Linked DNA regions of Saccharomyces cerevisiae S288C. The protein of the gene in region 1 binds, or shares a complex with, the protein of each later gene. Each region holds a gene or a part of one and is shown in the gene's direction. Other genes may lie near its edges.

Region 1 (10,693 bases):
TGGTGAGTTGGGTGCCGTGGGATCATCGCTTCCCACATCGTCTGTGTCCTTATCTGAGTCGCTATACTCTATATCTTTTTCCACATTTTCTGGTTCTGTTGTATTTTTTTCAAGTACCTCATCACTTAAATCCTCTTCTTCAACAGCTCCCAAACCCTCTTCTTCTATGAAATCATCAACAGTTTTCCTTTTTGGTTCTTTCAACATCGCTCGAAGTTGGTCTCTCGAAAAAGGTTGATGGTTTTGGATATCAACATTACGTACATTGGGTGATGATGATGATGACGAAATTTTCGCTCGTATTGCTTGGCTTATTTTTTCATTCGTTTCAGGAACATCGTCCGGACGGCTGTCCCCATTAACCTCTCCTTCGTGTGAACTCGCATCATTCTTATGGGCCAGGTCTTCGGATTCCTTTGCATTCAGGTTATTTTGGGTGGCTTGATGAACGCTTGTAGTCTGTGAGCGAAACGATGCAACATTTTCTGGAAACTTATCACTTACTTCTTCCGACAGTGTTTCCCTTTGTTCATGCTTGCCGGCAGTATCTTCCTCTTCGGATGTTTCTTGTTTAGAAATCTTTTCCAGCTCCTCCCGTCTCGTGCTCACGTTTGAAAGATAGCTGCTCAGGGACCTTTTCTTTAGCGGCTGTTTTGTAGTAGTCTCATTCATATTGTCATGAATCTCTACAGCAATTCTTCTCTGTCACATATAATAATATCCTTTGTTGCTTTGTGTAACTTACTACATAGTTTTCTCAATATACACATTGATTTAGCATCACAAGAAAACTTGTTACCCGGAATAAACTAGTATGAACCGTACAGTAAATGCGCAAATTATATTGAGAACTTCGTACAAGAACCCTACCAAATCCAAACCTTGTTCTTCTAAGGACGAGTCACTTCCTGAGCCTTGATTTGGAAAAGGCTCTCAATAAGAGAAACTAAAAGCTCAGAACAGAGCATGAAACAAAGCGAAGAAATACGGAATTATTTATAAAGTACAGAAGAAAAAAAGAGCATCGTGCCCCTCAATAAAGCCTCATTGAATGCTATATCTTTTTTTTTTTTCTCTCTCACGGTACTTTTCTATAACTGTTGGCTTGCACGTTAGTCTTCGCGTTAAGAGCAACCTCCCATTCCATCAACTGGAAAATAAGCCCTATGGAAGGGTTTATCTTGTCTGCCCTTGATTTCAACAGATCATATGAGTGCCTCAGACTCAAGTTATGATATTTCATTATATATGCAATAATCAGCGTTGCGGATCTCGACAGCCCACATTGGCAATGTATCAGTATCTTCTCTCGCTTAGTCGTAGCTGCGTGTATGATGCTAGTCAATGATGGCAAGTCCAACGCAATCTGCGAATCATGTTCCCATCGGTAGTGATGGTACTCGACAGCAGGAACCTGCATTCGTAAATCGTTTGCCTCTTCAGCAACGTTGATGACCACATCAAAGGGTAAAAGCTCTTTTACCGTGGGCTCTGAATAAAGGTAGATCTTTTCCGGGAGAACAAGTAATGGGCCTTTTGGGTAGATTCTGCGCACGTCCAAACTCGAACAAGGCACGAATTCACGGTCTTCATTCGGGCTTTCTTTGTCCGTAGACCTCTCATCTGTGGCCAGCATAGGAAGAGATGGTCTTTGGCCACTCTTTGGTGCGATGTTCGGTGTTCGCGTGGGTGATGTGTATATGTTCATGCGAGATTATGGCTACAAGTGCGCAGCCGTATGTGTTATTTTAGATAATAGATTATCTTCAACTTTGTTGCTGATCTTGTCTTACTCGTTCTTTTATATCACCCAGTATACCATAAAGGGGATAAGAACTGATTAAAGTTATTCGCTGCGGCAACCTAATTAGGAAGTTGCCTGTTCCAGAAGGGGAGTTGCCAAGGCCGCGCCGTACGACGCAAAAACCCTTTTCTATCTGGAAGATATCTCCTATTCCAATAGTGTGCGCCCTGCCTAGCAAATGAGACGAATAACGGATTCCGCAGAAATGACACACTGCAAAATCTGTTCGTAGTTTTCAGCATTTAAAAGTTTAGTTCTTTTTCTATGCTGCGACTGAGCTTCTGCATTTTTTAACCAAATACTAATTTGTCTTACATGATTGAAAGCGCCTTTAGCAATTCCTTTCCTTTTTTCTCGCTTCCAATTGCAGAAATGGAACAAAAAGAAAAGAAAGAATAGTGAAGATGGAGCTCTTCTGTTTTATTCTCGAGTGAAGGAATTGCATGAAGAGGAAAGTGTTAGAAATTACCTACGATGGCACTACGATTTTTCAACGATATATCTAGAGATGTCAATGGCCTATTCAATAGGGACTTTTTTCACACCAACCCCCTCTCTTTGAATATTTCAACAACCACGGAAAATGGTGTGAATTTTACTCTGAAGGCGAAGCAGGGCGTGACAGAAGGCCCCATCCAAACTAGCGTAGAAGGACGGTTTTATGACAGGAAGGAGGGAGTGTCGCTATCTCAGAGTTGGTCGAACCAGAACAGGTTAAATACAAGAATCGAATTTTCCAAGATAGCACCTGGTTGGAAAGGTGATGTCAACGCATTTTTGACTCCCCAATCCATCAAGAACGCCAAATTTAATTTGAGCTACGCCCAAAAATCGTTTGCAGCAAGAACTTCTATAGACATCTTGCAACCTAAGGACTTTGTCGGAAGTGTTACTTTGGGCCACCGCGGGTTTGTTGGCGGCACTGACATCGCATATGACACAGCTGCGGGTTTATGTGCACGCTATGCTATGTCAATCGGGTATCTTGCCAGAGAATATTCGTTTATTTTGTCTACTAACAACAGGCAATGCGCAACTGCTTCATTTTTTCAAAACGTTAACCGCTATTTGCAAGTGGGAACTAAAGCCACTTTACAATCGAAGACAAGTTCTAATATGAACATTGAATTTGTTACCAGATACGTACCAGATTCTATTTCGCAAGTTAAGGCAAAAATTGCAGATTCAGGCCTGACTACATTGTCGTACAAGCGAAATTTGAATAAAGATATTTCTTTGGGTGTGGGTATGTCTTTCAATGCGCTACAACTGACTGAACCAGTCCACAAATTTGGCTGGTCTCTATCGTTCTCGCCCTGAGAGATTTTATTTTCTTATAAATTTTACTAAATAAGGATTTGTACTTTTGATAGAGTTTTTTTTTTTTCTGACGTTTGTTTAGTTAATATTATATAATAGTATTTAGGAAACTAGGTGGGAGGGGACATCGCAACTTTTATCGTGACCTACGACCAGTGTTTTTTCAATTGTTTGATCAAAAGAGAAAAAAAGACAAAGGACCGAAGGATAGTTGCACGCATAAACTGGAGAAAAAATTGTGTTTGACATCGGCGTTTAGGCTTGTTTGTTCTGTCACACATACGCTGCTTCACACCAATTCATATTTCTCAGGTTAATTTGTCTCCTCTCCAACTTCAATAACGATTTTGCGTGAAGGTTTAATTTCATTATTGCAATTTTAGCAGAGAAACGCACATAAATATATATATATTGATTACAGAACCATTATAACATGTCTTCTTTGAAGGATGAAGTACCCACTGAGACTTCCGAAGACTTCGGTTTTAAGTTTTTAGGTCAAAAACAAATTCTACCTTCCTTCAATGAAAAACTGCCATTTGCATCTCTACAAAATCTCGATATTTCAAACAGTAAGTCTTTATTCGTTGCTGCCTCTGGTAGTAAGGCGGTGGTCGGCGAATTACAATTACTGAGAGATCATATCACCTCCGACTCTACTCCGTTAACGTTCAAGTGGGAGAAAGAAATCCCAGATGTAATATTTGTGTGCTTTCATGGTGATCAGGTTTTGGTTTCAACCAGAAATGCATTATATTCGTTAGACTTGGAGGAATTGAGTGAATTTCGAACGGTCACTTCTTTTGAGAAGCCAGTTTTCCAATTGAAGAACGTTAATAACACTTTAGTAATTTTAAATTCAGTCAATGATTTATCAGCACTGGATTTAAGAACAAAATCGACTAAGCAACTGGCACAAAACGTTACCTCTTTTGATGTCACAAATTCGCAGTTAGCAGTTCTACTAAAAGATAGAAGTTTTCAAAGTTTTGCATGGCGAAATGGCGAAATGGAAAAACAATTTGAGTTCTCTCTACCGTCAGAATTAGAAGAGCTTCCAGTAGAAGAATATTCCCCTTTGAGTGTTACCATTCTCTCTCCACAGGATTTTTTGGCGGTTTTCGGTAATGTTATATCAGAGACCGATGACGAAGTTTCATACGATCAAAAAATGTACATTATAAAGCACATAGACGGCAGCGCCTCATTTCAAGAAACTTTTGATATTACACCTCCATTCGGGCAAATAGTAAGGTTCCCATATATGTACAAAGTTACCTTGTCTGGTTTAATTGAACCTGATGCAAACGTAAATGTGCTAGCATCATCATGTTCAAGTGAAGTAAGTATATGGGACTCGAAACAAGTTATTGAACCTTCCCAGGATTCTGAACGAGCAGTATTGCCCATCAGTGAGGAAACAGATAAGGACACAAATCCAATAGGTGTGGCAGTTGACGTCGTTACTTCAGGCACTATTCTAGAACCTTGTTCCGGTGTTGATACGATAGAGCGATTGCCGCTCGTTTACATATTGAATAACGAAGGTAGCTTACAGATAGTCGGGTTGTTTCATGTGGCAGCAATCAAAAGCGGCCATTATAGCATAAATCTGGAATCTTTAGAACATGAGAAATCTCTCTCTCCTACATCAGAAAAAATTCCTATTGCTGGACAGGAGCAGGAAGAAAAAAAGAAAAATAATGAATCAAGTAAGGCTTTATCAGAGAATCCTTTCACATCAGCAAATACATCAGGCTTCACTTTTCTTAAAACACAACCAGCCGCTGCCAATAGCCTGCAGTCTCAAAGTTCTTCAACCTTTGGTGCTCCCTCATTTGGATCATCCGCATTTAAAATTGACTTGCCATCAGTCTCATCTACCAGTACTGGTGTAGCGTCCAGTGAACAAGACGCAACAGATCCTGCTTCTGCTAAGCCAGTATTCGGCAAACCCGCGTTCGGAGCTATTGCCAAAGAACCGTCAACATCAGAATATGCCTTTGGCAAGCCATCTTTTGGTGCTCCCTCCTTTGGCTCTGGAAAGTCATCTGTTGAATCGCCTGCCTCCGGATCTGCCTTTGGTAAGCCCTCTTTTGGTACTCCTTCCTTTGGCTCTGGAAATTCATCTGTTGAGCCGCCTGCCTCCGGATCTGCATTTGGTAAGCCCTCTTTTGGTACTCCTTCCTTTGGCTCTGGAAATTCATCTGCTGAGCCGCCTGCTTCCGGATCTGCCTTTGGTAAGCCCTCTTTTGGTACATCTGCATTCGGAACTGCATCAAGTAACGAAACTAACTCTGGATCCATATTTGGAAAGGCTGCATTTGGTTCATCATCTTTTGCACCCGCCAACAATGAACTTTTCGGATCAAACTTTACTATTTCAAAACCTACAGTTGACAGCCCAAAGGAGGTAGATTCAACGTCACCTTTCCCATCTTCTGGCGATCAAAGTGAAGATGAGTCTAAGAGTGATGTAGACTCTTCTTCGACACCTTTTGGTACGAAACCTAACACCTCTACGAAACCAAAGACCAATGCCTTTGATTTTGGGAGTTCTTCCTTTGGATCTGGATTTTCAAAGGCTCTGGAATCTGTTGGTTCCGATACAACTTTTAAATTCGGTACTCAGGCTTCACCTTTCTCTTCACAGTTAGGAAACAAATCACCATTCAGTTCCTTCACAAAAGATGATACTGAAAATGGATCTTTAAGTAAGGGCTCTACCAGTGAAATCAATGACGATAATGAAGAACACGAAAGCAATGGTCCCAACGTAAGCGGTAATGATTTGACAGATTCTACGGTTGAGCAAACATCTTCTACTAGATTACCGGAAACTCCCTCGGATGAAGATGGTGAAGTTGTCGAGGAGGAAGCGCAAAAATCCCCCATAGGCAAGCTAACTGAAACTATAAAAAAAAGTGCCAATATTGACATGGCTGGTTTAAAAAATCCTGTATTTGGAAATCATGTCAAAGCAAAATCCGAATCGCCGTTTTCAGCATTTGCAACAAATATTACCAAACCAAGCTCTACAACACCTGCTTTTTCGTTTGGTAACTCCACAATGAATAAAAGTAATACATCTACGGTTTCACCAATGGAAGAAGCTGATACTAAAGAAACTAGTGAAAAGGGCCCCATAACCTTGAAGAGTGTGGAGAATCCGTTTCTACCAGCGAAAGAAGAAAGAACTGGAGAAAGTTCTAAAAAGGATCATAACGATGACCCAAAAGATGGTTATGTATCAGGAAGTGAAATATCTGTAAGGACTTCTGAAAGTGCTTTTGATACCACAGCAAACGAAGAAATTCCAAAGTCACAGGACGTGAACAATCATGAAAAAAGCGAAACAGACCCAAAATATAGTCAACATGCTGTGGTTGATCACGATAACAAGTCTAAAGAAATGAATGAAACTTCGAAGAATAATGAAAGGAGCGGTCAACCAAATCATGGTGTCCAAGGAGATGGAATAGCATTGAAAAAAGACAATGAAAAAGAGAATTTTGATTCAAATATGGCAATAAAGCAATTCGAAGACCACCAATCTTCAGAAGAGGACGCGAGCGAAAAAGACAGTAGACAAAGCAGTGAAGTTAAAGAATCAGATGATAACATGTCACTCAACAGTGACCGGGATGAAAGTATATCTGAGTCCTACGATAAACTGGAAGATATTAATACTGATGAGCTACCTCATGGTGGAGAAGCTTTTAAAGCACGTGAAGTGAGCGCTTCCGCTGATTTTGATGTACAAACTTCATTAGAAGACAATTATGCTGAATCTGGCATACAGACAGACCTTTCAGAAAGTTCCAAGGAAAATGAAGTTCAAACGGATGCCATACCCGTGAAACACAACAGTACACAAACTGTTAAGAAGGAAGCAGTCGACAATGGTCTGCAAACTGAGCCTGTTGAAACATGTAATTTTTCTGTTCAAACATTTGAAGGTGACGAAAATTATTTAGCAGAGCAATGCAAACCAAAGCAATTGAAAGAATATTACACAAGTGCAAAAGTATCAAATATTCCTTTCGTTTCACAAAATTCTACGTTAAGGTTGATTGAGAGTACATTTCAGACGGTCGAAGCTGAGTTTACTGTTCTGATGGAAAACATCCGGAATATGGATACTTTTTTTACTGATCAATCGAGCATCCCTTTGGTGAAGCGTACAGTGCGGTCTATCAATAATCTGTATACTTGGAGAATACCAGAGGCTGAAATTCTATTAAATATTCAGAATAATATCAAGTGTGAACAAATGCAAATAACAAATGCTAACATTCAAGACCTGAAGGAAAAAGTTACAGATTATGTCAGGAAAGATATTGCACAAATAACTGAAGATGTAGCCAATGCAAAAGAGGAGTATCTGTTTTTAATGCATTTTGATGATGCTTCGAGTGGATACGTTAAAGATCTCAGCACGCATCAATTTAGAATGCAAAAGACATTACGTCAAAAGCTATTCGATGTGTCCGCCAAAATTAATCATACTGAAGAGTTGCTGAACATTTTAAAATTGTTCACTGTAAAGAATAAGAGATTGGACGATAATCCATTAGTGGCAAAACTAGCTAAAGAATCTCTTGCACGTGACGGTTTACTAAAAGAAATCAAATTATTGCGTGAGCAAGTGAGTAGGTTACAATTGGAGGAGAAAGGTAAAAAGGCTTCGTCGTTCGATGCATCCTCTTCAATAACAAAGGACATGAAAGGATTTAAAGTAGTAGAAGTTGGGTTGGCCATGAATACGAAAAAGCAAATTGGTGATTTCTTCAAAAATTTGAACATGGCAAAATAGTGATATTTAGCTATATGTACGTTGTTAGTGCCGTTAATAATAAATTCATCCTCTATCATAGAAACAGGGCATGAGAAACGAAGAAAAATTGATATTGTAACAATATCATGAGACCTTTTATAGAAGTGGCGCCAAAACTAAATGTATTTGAAAATACAAAAAACGCACAGGTTTCTTTATATATGTATATATATATATATATATATATAAAACTGTACATATACTGTTTAAATTAATCTATTTATTCATTGGCCAGCTTATATAACGTCTCCTTGAAGTACTTTATCAAATGTGTGTTCTCCTCATGGGTTCCAACGGTAATTCTCAAACATCCGGAACAGCCTAATTCGTTACCTCTAAATCTGACGACAACCCCAGATTGAGTAGCCAATTGGTAATATAACTTCTTTGCCAAGACATTGTCACCCCCGTTGATCCGTATTAAAAGAAAATTAGCATCTAATCCACCAACATATTGGTCATCAACGTAATCCAAAGCAGTTAATTCCTTTAAGAGGCGCATTTTCTCTTCATTGATTATTTTCGAAGTGGCTTCCATCTTCTTTAGATTACTGTCTTGAACAGCTTTTAGTGCATATTCAGAGGCTAGGGAGGAAATATTATAAGGCGCCTTCATTGCATTTAAAATTCTGGCCAACTCTGCTGTTGCATATGTCATACCCAACCTAATCCCGGCTAAACCGAATGACTTGGATAGAGTTTGCAAAGTAACCAAGTTAGGATACTTGGTGACTAGTGGAGCTGTAGAGCCACCACAAAAATCTACGTAAGCTTCATCAACAACGACTAACCCATTGTCCCAATTCTGTAAGACCTTTTCGATTAAACTGGTCTTAATTTTGGCTCCGGTTGGATTACCTGGTGAAGTAACGAACATCAACTTAATTAGCGAGTCGTTTTTCAAAATGGTTAATACAGCTTCGGTATCCATTTGAAAAGAACCGTCGGAAACAGTTAAAGGACATTGGACGACTTCTATATCATTAATGTTTGCACAAACAGAGTACATAGAATATGTTGGTGGAAGAACCAGAATCTTTTCTTTCCCGGGAACACAGCATGCTCTAATAATAGCATCAATACTCTCATCAGATCCCACACCTAGGCACAGATTGTCAGCAGTTAAAGGTTTTACCTCTGGGTCATTGGCATAACTGCTTGTTTTGTTCCTGTATTTCGTCATTGCGGTCTTGAATTCCAATTGGTGAGGATCCGGGTAACGATGTAAATTGGTCTTGCTCAATTCAACTGGAGTAGGTCCATGGGCATTTTCATTGGCGTCTAGCAATATACCCTCGGTGAAATCATCTCTTGCACAGCGATAAGGTTCCAAGTTATAAATTTTTGGTCTAACAATTCTTTTCAAATCAAAAACCATAGTGTAATTTTAATATATACGGCACACACGTACTGCTGGTTTAGCAGGAAACAAATTAAGAGTAATCAATGGAAAAACTGTTTTTACATATTGGAGGGTATATTGAACAGAACTGTGTGCATCCTTTTCAAGTTATATAACGTGAGAGATAAAATATCAAGTATGTCATGTCAGGGTAAGAAACATCAATTGAAGTGAGTCAACAGATCCAAGAAAAAAAAGCACTAACTACGTCACTATACCATGAACTATTGAAAATTGGTAGTTTAGTCATCTCAGATTCCATTCATTGGAAAAAACAATTGACTCCTAACAATTAACTTCGGATTAGTCATTAATTATTTCAATGCTTGACTCCTTTTTTGAATAGTCTCACCCGGATCGTAGTCACATGATCAAATAAATTATTGCATTACCAATGGCTTCTGTATTAGTTACTGTCCAGGAAAGGTCTCAATATAACCGGTCACCTTATTTATGATAACAATTTTTAACCATTTACCCTTTATTTTTGCAAAGTTATGACCTTTGGAATGCGGCAGAAAAAAAAAAAATTGATGAAGTAGTCATCAAACAGGTTTCGGCGAAAGACAGTACAAGAATTGCCAGCTAAAGCTTTTCTAATATGTTATTCCATCAAATATTCACGCTATTAATGCTATCTGATCGATTACTTGGTAAAAATAACCAAATGAGTATTGGGTCATATTTTGGAGAAGCGAAAAGTGCACGGCATACTTAAAGAAGAGAAAAAAATTCTTAATCAAAGCTTAAGCGGCATCGCATAACTCTGACAAAAGTATAATCATAGTATGTGGTTTGAGTAAACAACAAGACTGGCAGGTAAGTTTTTTAAATGAATTTTCTTAGCAGGGTTATTGCGGCGCACGTCTATAGGTGATTTACCTTTGTTCCTGAATATACATGATATTCTTAATGCGACAGCGCCCAGGGAAGCAAAGAACGCCGACGAAAGAGCGGCGGAGCAAAAGGCGCAAAGTGACACCTTCCGATCCTGGGAAGTGATCGGTTTCGCTGTTCGGGCTTTTCTTAGACAAATAAAGTTTAATTTTCTTGCTTTCTCTTTTTGGCTAAGAATTCTATATTGTTCTTGAAACAACTTTGTCACACGTTCTAAAAATAAAATGGAAAATGGAAAATGAAAAATTAGAGAGAAAATGTATTACTGAAGAATGTGGTAAAGACATTTGAAAAATATTTAATATATTACCTGAGATCATTCAAAGGAACGCATCGGTGCAAAGAAACAGTTATAGCATTAGAGTTAAGTCAAGAGCACTCATTATTACTTTAAAAGGTCGTTGAAAATAGAATAAATTGACACTCAAAACGC
Region 2 (3,905 bases), on another chromosome or scaffold:
AAACGGTTTATTGATTTTGTTTCCAGCTTGGCTCTCTTGATTTTTTATGAGCACGTGTTATTTATTCCTTATTCAAACCTTCATATATGTATAGATGTGCATTGTTTATACGTTACCTAGCATTTTAATGACCCTCCTATTTAGTTATCTTTTATCACATTCGTTAAAACCTAGAGGAAAAAAAGAAAACTGGAGGATTTCACAAATCTTCCTCCAATGTTGCTCATTTCAAGCAAAAAACGACCCCAGTGAGGGTTGAACTCACGATCTTGCGATTAACAGTCGCACGCCTTAACCAACTTGGCCATGGAGTCTTTTTGACTATGTTCTCGAGAAAATATAGGCTCTCTTAGTCCTCAACATTTTAATTATTTGAGTACACCAACCGGTAATCGTGAAATAGTTAACACTCTAGATCCAAAAAATACGTATTTAGGTATAATGGGATGTAAGACCGTTTTTATGAGGGTGCCTTATTTAAATTAAAATTATTATTGCTCGGGCCTTTACCTCGATTTCATGGAATTTTCAACAGGACAAGAAAATGAAGCTTAGAAAAAATATAGAATAATAAATAATATGAAAAGGGAATGGTCAACAGTCATAGTCGCAATTTCTCTCAGGGCGAAATGGACTTTTTGAATGATGATGAACTAGACTTAGATTTACCGGTAACCGCAGAAATATCGAAAGAGTTATTCGCAACAGAAATAGAGAAGTATCGTGAATCCGAGACTAATGGGACCGATGTTGATAACTTTGATGTCGACAGATTCCTAGTGCAGAAAAATTTCCATTACCTTCCTCTCGATTCCCTTATTAGAGATTTGTCTGGACTTTCACAAAAAATGGTACAAACATTATTAGAACAAATAAGAAGTAACTACGACGACTATCTGACTTTTTCCAATACCTATACAGATGAAGAAAATGAAACTCTAATAAATTTAGAGAAAACACAAAGTGATCTTCAAAAATTTATGACTCAATTAGATCATTTGATAAAGGATGACATCAGCAATACACAAGAAATTATAAAGGATGTCCTGGAATACCTAAAGAAGTTAGATGAGATTTACGGCTCTCTGCGTAACCATTCACAATTGACAGAAGCGCTCTCACTTGGAAAGAGATTGAGTAAATCTCTCCATGAAATGTGCGGTATAGAACCATTAGAAGAAGAAATTTGCTCTGGCCTGATTGAGCAGTTGTATAAGTTGATTACGGCATCTCGTCGAATATTGGAGTCTTGTGCTGATTCCAATTCACCATATATTCATCATCTGCGCAATGACTATCAAGACCTTCTGCAAGAATTTCAAATCTCACTGAAAATCTTGACCGAAAAGTGTCTTGAAAACCCATCAAGCCTGCAAAACCTATCTTTGACATTAGTCTCCATTATAAAAACGGCATAGTTGGGAGAAAACTTTCCATACTTCAATTGTGGACTGATATAAGTATTTTAGTTTTGCCCGCATGATCATCCCACATGGCTACAGCAGTTCTCTCATAGGAAAATAGTACAATAGCTACGTGATATAATCTAAATAATTGTTGCCAATGTGTAATTATATCATTTTGAACGTACGCGAAATGGATTATTTTCAAAAATTTTGTTTCTTGAAATGAGTAAAAGCAAAAGTCCAACTCTCCAAGTCGATGTAAACAACTTTTTGCCAAAGGGACTGAAAGACTAAATCGAGGATTATCCCGTTCAAACTATTCCAGAAACGCTCGTTAGTAACAAAAGACATACCTTGTTGACCAATTGATCACATGTTTGGTTTCAGCGGTAGTAATAACGGGTTCGGAAATAAACCAGCTGGTTCGACCGGTTTTTCATTTGGACAAAACAATAACAATACAAATACTCAACCTTCGGCTTCAGGATTTGGTTTTGGGGGCAGCCAGCCAAATTCTGGGACGGCTACTACCGGAGGGTTTGGTGCAAATCAGGCCACAAATACTTTTGGAAGTAACCAACAAAGTAGTACAGGTGGAGGCCTTTTCGGTAATAAGCCTGCTCTTGGCAGCCTAGGAAGTTCAAGCACTACCGCTTCAGGAACTACAGCTACTGGAACAGGTTTATTTGGGCAACAAACAGCACAACCTCAACAATCCACCATTGGAGGTGGGTTATTTGGAAACAAGCCAACTACCACAACGGGAGGTCTTTTCGGCAACAGTGCACAAAACAATAGTACCACAAGTGGGGGTTTATTTGGTAATAAAGTAGGATCCACTGGCTCACTGATGGGCGGCAATAGCACTCAAAACACATCTAACATGAATGCAGGCGGACTTTTTGGTGCAAAGCCTCAGAATACTACAGCGACTACGGGAGGCCTATTTGGCAGTAAGCCACAAGGATCAACAACTAATGGTGGCCTGTTTGGAAGCGGCACCCAGAATAACAATACCCTTGGGGGAGGTGGCCTTTTTGGCCAATCCCAGCAGCCTCAAACAAACACTGCGCCCGGACTTGGAAACACGGTATCCACACAACCATCATTTGCTTGGTCTAAGCCTTCAACTGGATCTAATTTACAGCAGCAGCAGCAGCAGCAAATTCAAGTACCGTTGCAACAAACGCAAGCAATTGCTCAACAACAGCAGCTGTCTAATTATCCGCAGCAAATTCAAGAACAGGTGTTGAAATGTAAAGAATCGTGGGATCCAAACACAACGAAAACAAAACTCAGGGCTTTCGTGTACAATAAAGTGAACGAAACGGAAGCCATTTTATATACAAAACCAGGACATGTACTTCAAGAAGAGTGGGATCAGGCAATGGAAAAGAAACCTTCCCCTCAGACAATTCCCATTCAAATATATGGATTTGAGGGTTTGAATCAACGTAATCAAGTACAGACTGAAAATGTAGCCCAAGCTAGAATAATTTTGAACCATATTTTAGAGAAATCCACACAATTGCAACAAAAGCATGAATTGGACACTGCGTCCAGAATTTTGAAGGCACAATCAAGGAATGTTGAAATTGAAAAAAGAATCTTAAAATTGGGCACACAATTGGCAACCCTGAAAAATAGAGGACTGCCATTGGGTATTGCAGAAGAGAAAATGTGGTCGCAATTCCAAACTTTACTACAGCGGAGCGAAGATCCTGCAGGTTTAGGTAAGACTAACGAACTTTGGGCACGTTTGGCTATCTTAAAAGAACGTGCTAAAAACATTTCTAGTCAATTAGATAGTAAATTAATGGTTTTCAACGACGATACAAAAAACCAAGACAGCATGTCCAAAGGCACCGGTGAAGAATCTAATGATCGTATTAATAAGATAGTGGAAATTCTGACGAATCAACAACGCGGTATAACATATTTAAATGAGGTTTTAGAGAAAGATGCTGCAATTGTAAAAAAATATAAAAATAAAACGTAATCAGGTTACTTAAATCAATGACTGAATTGTATAAAGATCGATCTATTACATATATAGCATTATTAACCAACTTAGTATATGAACAGAACTTCAACCCAAGGGAAGCAGACATTCACTATAAAACTTTTCTCAGCATCAAAATAAAGTGCAAATTATGTTGTTTTTTTCTATTGAATTATACATTCTATTAAAGAGAAAATATTGATGTGATTCTCTCCCATTCCTAATAAGAAATTAGAAGGAACTTTCTGGAAGAATAAAGAGATACATTAAGGTACAAAAACAATGTAGTCCTCGAGAGGATAACTTTCGTGCTTATGATCTTGGCTTTTCCTTCTTTTCTTTCCACAAAGCCAACAAGGAGACACCAGAGACCTTAACGACCTTGAATCTAACACCTGGAATATCACCCTTAGCTTTACCCTTTCTACCGAAACCTGCTAGCAAGACTTCATCATTTTCGTCGACAAAGTTCAAACAACCATCGTTTGGAACGAAAG

Evidence for each region. The genes of interacting proteins can lie anywhere in the genome.
Region 2: NUP159 (region 1) and NUP57 share a complex: the UniProt entries of both Saccharomyces cerevisiae proteins name them as parts of the nuclear pore complex.

Annotation. Positions count from the first base shown.
Region 1 is NC_001141.2:141,574-152,266, reverse strand, and holds NUP159 (FG-nucleoporin NUP159), read left to right. Parts: upstream 1-3,557; coding exon 3,558-7,940; downstream 7,941-10,693. Other genes in the region: HOS4 (Hos4p), read right to left, coding at 1-672; mitogen-activated protein kinase tyrosine protein phosphatase SDP1, read right to left, coding at 1,079-1,708; putative porin POR2, read left to right, coding at 2,279-3,124; HIS5 (histidinol-phosphate transaminase), read right to left, coding at 8,182-9,339. UniProt on the Saccharomyces cerevisiae protein: Functions as a component of the nuclear pore complex (NPC).
Region 2 is NC_001139.9:727,546-731,450, reverse strand, and holds NUP57 (FG-nucleoporin NUP57), read left to right. Parts: upstream 1-1,779; coding exon 1,780-3,405; downstream 3,406-3,905. Other genes in the region: ammonium permease MEP1, read left to right, coding at 1-2; Golgi transport complex subunit COG2, read left to right, coding at 630-1,418; 40S ribosomal protein uS12 RPS23A, read right to left, coding at 3,721-3,905. UniProt on the Saccharomyces cerevisiae protein: Functions as a component of the nuclear pore complex (NPC).